Linked DNA regions of Danio rerio. The protein of the gene in region 2 interacts with the protein of the main gene of each other region in a pairwise test. Links are inferred from orthologs where the notes say so. Each region holds a gene or a part of one and is shown on either strand. Other genes may lie near its edges.

What was found. The genes of interacting proteins can lie anywhere in the genome.
Region 1: the proteins of atxn1a (region 2) and dctn3 interact in binary tests that used the Homo sapiens proteins (3 or more experiments, as listed by UniProt). The link is inferred for Danio rerio from reciprocal best matches to the Homo sapiens genes ATXN1 and DCTN3.

The regions. Positions count from the first base shown.
Region 1 is NC_133191.1:5,363,071-5,366,367, reverse strand, and holds the end of dctn3 (dynactin subunit 3), read left to right. Parts: intron 1-1,934; coding exon 1,935-1,994; intron 1,995-2,130; coding exon 2,131-2,217; 3' UTR 2,218-2,737; downstream 2,738-3,297. UniProt on the Homo sapiens protein: Part of the dynactin complex that activates the molecular motor dynein for ultra-processive transport along microtubules. Together with dynein may be involved in spindle assembly and cytokinesis.
Region 2 is NC_133194.1:34,917,306-34,920,966, reverse strand, and holds part of atxn1a (ataxin-1a), read right to left. Parts: intron 2,439-3,661; 5' UTR 2,127-2,438; coding exon 342-2,126; intron 1-341. UniProt on the Homo sapiens protein: Chromatin-binding factor that repress Notch signaling in the absence of Notch intracellular domain by acting as a CBF1 corepressor. Binds to the HEY promoter and might assist, along with NCOR2, RBPJ-mediated repression. Binds RNA in vitro.

The DNA.
Region 1 (3,297 bases), on a different chromosome or scaffold from region 2:
TACATTTCAGTAGTTCAGCACTTTCTCCTTGTGTCTTTTCATTGTTATTACACATGACTCATTTTATTTCAGAATTAAATTTTTTTATGTTTGTATTGTTTGGTTTTTTATCTAAATCTGGTTCAATTCCAGGTCAACAGCTCCTTTAGAAACATTATTCCCAGGAAAAAAACATGACCTGTTCAATACTTATTTTCTCTCTTTGTAAAAAATACACTGATTATAGGAATTATAACTTTTGAAATTTCAAAGTGAAATGTTTACTTATGACATGAACATACTCTTAAAGGGACAGTTCCCCCAAAAAAATAAAATGATCATCATTTTACTTTCGCTTTACTTGGGTTTCTTTCTTCTGTTCTGAACACAAAAGATATTGACGAATTACCGGTTTGTAAACATTCAGGAGGCCTGCGCGTCGCGGCTGCAGAAGAAAACCGGGAGTGCTAGCAATTACAGCGAGGGAATGACATCCGATGCAGTACAGAGTTTATTGTTCGATTAGAGAAAAGTTTTATTGATTACATATTATATATATTATTTACATAATGCTTTAAGCGTATTATAACAGTTTGTCACCCAGTGATAAGCACAGTTCTGTCATGATCACCAGCGATCTAACCACCAGAGGTCACTGTTTACCACTACCGTTCACATGAACTACAAATCCACCATGTTATGGACTACATATTCCGCCATGCAACACACACACACCTGCTCCAAGTCTCCTCTGATTACACTCTCGTAAAGTAATCAGGGATGTGACACTGACAACAGGGGTGAGGATCCAAATGCAGGGTTTTATTAGCGAGGTCAAAGCAAGGCAAGGCAAGTTTATTTATATAGCACATTTTATACACAGTGGCAATTCAGTGCAAGCAGTGGTCAATAAAGGGGCAAACACATGTATAAGGGCAATCCAGAGTTGTAACAGGCAGCTGGTCAAAAGGCAGGCAGCAATCAGGATTAAGCAAGGTGAGGAAAACAAGACAAAGGAAAATACGTTGTAGTGTCACCAAAACAGTAGACAAGACTCAGCCCTGAGTGTCTCGAAGTGAGCCGAATATATGTGTGTGGTCATTCATTGAGCAGCATCAGCTGTAAGAGTGTAATCAGAGGAGACTTGGAGCAGGTGTGTGTGTGTGCTGCATGACTGAATATGTAGTTCATAATATGGTGGATTTGTTGTTTATGTGAAAGGTAGTGTTTACCAGCGACCTCTGGTGGTTAGATCGCTGGTGATCATGACAAGTTATTCTGCAAAATTAAGAATAAAGTGAGCAGCGTTCATCTGACGGGTCCATTTGCGATAGCACCCTCCCAATGAATATTGGATAAATGAAATGGCCAAGCATCCAGCCCCAAATATACAACTATCTGATTAAAACTCTAAGTGATTTTACATAAGAGAAGTTAAAGATCTACAAGTCGAGCAATTTTAATTAGGTGCTTGCTCCATTCAGCTCATACGATGGCTGTTAGCCAAAGACGTCTGTGGTTGGCATTAAAAGCAGTGTGGTGTACGCTAAAATTAAAGTTTCTAGACTTTCAAATTTGGCATCCTACCGCACAAAACAACATGTTTACTATTGCAACTGGCCTCTTCTTGCAACTGGTATGCGCGATTGAACCAGTGTGACATAGGTTGGTAATTCCCCTATACTGAAGAAACCTGTAACCATTGACTTTCATAGTTTTTTTCCTACTATGGATGTCTGTGGTTACAGGTTTTCAGCTTTTTTCAAAATGTCTTCTATTGAGTTCAGCAGAAAAAAGAAAACACTTGAGGGAGAGAAAATAGTGAGTACATTTTCAGTATTGAGTGAACTATCCCTTTAAATGCTGTCTAATGATTATTAAATCAACTAAATGAAAACCCTGCTGGTACATCTTCCCATATAATCAAATGTTTTATCCCCAACTGACATCTACAGGACCAGAATGAAGACTTGTCTGCTGAAGTCAAAAGACTCTTTGAAGAGTACAATAAAATGGTATCCTTACTTGCCGTGAAACATAAGAGTGACTTTGTTATTACCACGTGTTGCCTGCAGCTAAAATCGCCAACACAATAAGCTCTTTTTGAGCATCTGAATACTTTTGACACGATTCTCCTTAACCCTTTCACAGATGTTTCTTCTGTCCAAACAGTTTTCACAGTGGGATGAAACTCTACGAACGCTGGAAGGACCCAAACAAGTCCAGCAGATTGATTAGGACCATAATGATTATGATGTCTTTCACTCTACTGACGCGTTTACTTATTACTGATGAATAAAACAGCACTGTCATTCCCAAACATGCATTGGTAATGTGTTTAAAGTCCGCATTAAATCAAAATTTGCATTGTTTATTTTGTTGCCACCACATTGTCAGTCTTAAGGTGAACAATGAATCCGTGCAAATTAATCCATTGAATTATTTTGTTTTGGTAATCTTTAATCAAAATCTGACCATCTGCTTCTGCTTTGGACCAGCCGCATTTGTATGACATCAGGCTGAATCTGATTGGGCAGATCCTACTCAATATACAGCTGCAGTTGGAAATGCTTCATAAAACTGAAATAAAACAAATGCAGATTTTAGATGTTTTGATGACGTCAGGTTGAATCTGACTCATTTTTGCTCTATTTATTTAGTCCAGCTATTATGATGTGTGTATGAAGATGGCTACACTGCAAAGTTTCTCCTAAAAATACCTTAAGCAATGAAATAAAAGTTCGACTGTACTATATAATTGGGTTGTATTTGTATTTATTTATTTTTACAGAACTATGTGACATTTTATTTACATGACAGGTTTTTACATATTTAAATAACATGCAGTCATGTGTAAATAAATCTTTATTTTACTAATATATATATATTATATATATATATTTTTTTTTAAATTAATATTTTTTACCAGATGCATATGGTTTCTGTTTTGTCAATAATATTTTAAGATTTTATTTAAAACACTAAATAAATACATAAAAAAATCGACGATCACTGCCTTTTAAGATTTGAAGAATGTTTGCATCGACTTAAATAACATGCAATCCTGTGCAAAATAAATTAAATTTTTATTCATATACATAAGATATTTTTTTATTAATTGTTAATGAATATTTTTCACCAAATGTATACGGTATCTGCTTTGTATAATAATATAAGATTTAATTTTAAAACACAAAATAAATACATAAGTAAATGGACGATGATGTAATGCACTGAACATTAAATATTAGCGTTGCATTAAATATGTCATTAAAATTAATTTTTCTACCTATCTCAAACCACTTAATCAAGATTTGA
Region 2 (3,661 bases):
TCATATAAACATTAAAAAAACTCGTTAAAAATGCTAATTTCAGAGATGGCAAGAAACAAACGGAAGTTATGGTTCATAAAGATTGGCAATATATAATATATGGAGGACAATATAATTGCTGTACACACACCTAAAACTTAGGCAAAGGTCAACTCCATTAGATTTTTTTTTTAATAATAAACCCTTTACTACCACGTGCAGACATGGTACACAGTGTTTGATTAATATCACATAGTCATCAATCTCAAGTTTATTTCCCCGCTTATCTTTGTGCATAAGAAAAACAGATACTCAGATGTGTCTACAAGCAGCAATGTTAAATAGAAAACTTATGAACCCACCTGTGAGCGTTGCGCTCCTACAGCAAACTGTATTATAGCAAAGTTAGCTGTATGACTGCTGTCGATGCGCTCTACAGTGCTGGAATCAATCTTCAGCTCGTTGCTAATCTCAGCACTCTGAATGAAATCCTCTGTTTTCAGGTCTTCCACCCGCTTCAGTTCCCCATCTGCCAATTGGATGATGGAGCCCTTGGTGAAGTAGGGTGGCATTGAAGGAGCTGAGGGTGGGGGTGGAGTTGTCAGCAGGCCAGCAGGTGCTGGAACCACAGGCAAATGCAACTGGGCTTGAACCATAGCTGTGGCAGGGTGGGGGTATGGAGCCGGAGATTCAAAAGTTTCCACTTTGGGGGCTGTTGAGGTGACGAAAGCATGGGGCAGTGCAGCAGTTGATGTAGCGGTAGCTTCAGTTCCACTTACTGGGATGATGACCGGCTGAGTTCCAGGGATGACCAAGTGCTGGGGTAAGGTGGTGTGGTAGCTGAGAGGCTGCTGGTGCCCTGTGCCGGCAAAGTAACCAATGATAGGCTGCTGGGTGGAGTAGAAATTAGTGGAGGGGAGGCTTAGAGAGAGTGACTCTGTGCTGTTAAGTGTGGTCTGAATGACTGCATGAGGAGACTGCGCTGGAACTGCTCCCTTAAGATTGTCCACAGGTGGAGGGGGAAGAGCAAATGAAAGGGAGGAAGATAAGGAGGAACTGCGGGAGACAGGTTTGCCAGCACAAATCCCTCCTTTTTCATGGTGGGATGTCGAGGGAGGCAGCTTGTCTGATGCACCTCCAGAATCAGCACTAGTGGAGCTATGATTATTAGGTACCAGCACCAATGAGGTCCTCATGGCTGTGCTGTCCTGCGTGTACTCGGCAGGTAGCACAACATGTCGAGCTTCAAAGTGACGTGGGCTCTGCTGCTGGTGGATCTGGTGCTGCTGGGCAGAGGAACCCCCTTTGGCAGTGCTGCCCTGCTTCCCTGCACTGGACTCAGAAGATGGACCAAAACGTCTGTCCTTCTCCAGCTCTCCATTCAGCAACTCCCTGGTCCTCATCTCCTCCCTCTTGGGTAAAAGACTTTCTGTGTATGGGACTAAGACCTGTGAAGGGCCACTAAGGGGAAGTGTGTGGTGAGGATGTAAATGTAGGGGCAAGTGTGTATGCGGTGACGAAACAGTTCGAGGGGATATGCTTAGTGGAGAACCAGCAATTTGAACATATTGAGTGGAGTGAGGTGAAGAGGTGTTGTCAGTTGTGACCAGGCCTTGAGGACGGCCCAATTGGTGGTGCTGATCAATTTTGGATGCTGGAGAACTGGAGGAGCTGGCATAAATCTCACGTTGTGTGGTAGTGGTGGCAGCTAAAGGGGGAGCTAGTGGAGAGATGTAGCCAGCGTATGGTGCAGAGTAAGGAGGGTTGATGAAGTGTATATTGTGAGGGAGGGGTGTGTACTGGATTGCGCTAGGAGAATGGGAGAGAGGTGATGTGTACACTGCAGGTATGGTGGTCACTGCAGATAGAGCTCTGGTTGAGTGTGTGGACGAGGAAGGTGTGCTCTCAGCCGTGGCTGACAATGGTTTATATTGAGGCCCATCTGATTCTGCAGACGTGCTGGTGTGCAGCCGGCCTTTGTCATGCCCACTGGCCAGACTGGCAAGCCAAGCCAGGTTCCCTCCACGCTGGCTCTCATTGGCAGGCGCCATCACCATGGGCTTCTCCTCTGAGGGCAGAGTGCTTGCTGGGATTTCACGCTTCTTTGGGGGCAGGCATTCATTGCTCCGCTCCTGGTTTGACTTCATGGTGTCTGAAAATCTTGAACCACTCTTTCCGGATTTTTCTTTCCCCTTTTTTGGCTCTTTTCCTCTCCCTCCTGGTCTCCGTTTGTCTTGCTAACAGAGTGTGCCCTCCTACTGATTGGCTTGGAGCGAGTATGGGAATGGGGTAGAGAGGAGAGTGGTGGTGAGAGGGGATGTGTCCTGTGCCTATGGTCGGATTGACACAGATTTCAGTCTTAAGCAATTGAAGTCACACCTGCTGCGGGAGAGCGGTCCATGCAATTCATGTGGAATCATTTCCTTCCGAGAGAGAGTCTCCAGGACTGCAGGAAGAACCTGAAATATAATAAAGAAACATAATCAGGTTTAATGCACAAACATAATTTCAGCAGCTTTTAGATGATAAAGCCATGTAAACTGAAGAAAATGAGAAACCAAAAAATGAAGGCTGTAAATATTTTGTGCATCAGGATTTATTTCTATGCCACAGTGGTGCTGAATGGACAAATAGCTTGCAGTCGTTTACAGAGGACTATCTTAACAGCAGCTCAACAAATATTTATTGTAAAATAACATGCCTCAACAAACTGATAAATGCATAAGTATATTAGGAAAGTTAGAACTGTCTCTCTATATTGGATGTTAAGTTAAAAATTGTCCATCAAATAAGAAAGCTAGCACAGTTTCTTTTTCCTCTTCCTCCTACTCTAGATTGTATGGGGAGACACGTGACAAAACAATGATGCTGTGCAGTGTTACGGCTTGTTTGACATTCCTCCCTGAGCTCTATTGATTGGACCCATTCAGCTGCGTCTGTTGTCCAGCACTAGTGGGAGGATGGTTTTGCATGATAAACAGGCCCAGATGATTTAACAAGTGTCGCAGTGCTATAAAAGAGGAGGCAGATACCGATGTAAGCGAAACCCTCCCTTTAATTTGGACACTACTAAAAATAGCATAAAGTACCACCAAACAGTACTACCTAATTTTTTGGACATGTACCATGGTACTGAGACTTATGCAAGTATCTTTGTATTACTATATGATGCCAAGACTGTACTACAACTGTTTGGACATGTTAAAACAATGCTTCTTTAGACATGGTACTATTATAATATTCTTTGAAGTAGCGTATGTACCACAAGGAAATAATATATATATACTAACACTAAAAGGAAATACTAATACATAGTAGAGGTTGTGTTTAGGTTCACAAAGGTAATACCATCTCTTAAAGTAGACACAGCAGTCCTTAGCTGAATACAAACAGCAGGAGAATGTCCTCTGTGTTTGCTCTTAAGTCAAAGTAGAGTAGAATGGTTACACAACGACTGAACATCAGTGATTGACGGCTATTGATGCTGAGCAGGGTGTTTATTCTCAGCACTCTCTCAATCAGTGTTTCCTGCTTCTTTTTCCACTTTTCACCCCTACTATCTTATTCCTTCCCTTTGGCTCATATATCTTTTCATCTCTCTATGCACCAACCCCCAACCTCTCTTCTAAGTATTTTCCTTTTGCCATAATTTGCATCAGACAAGGGCAATCAAGCATGTTAA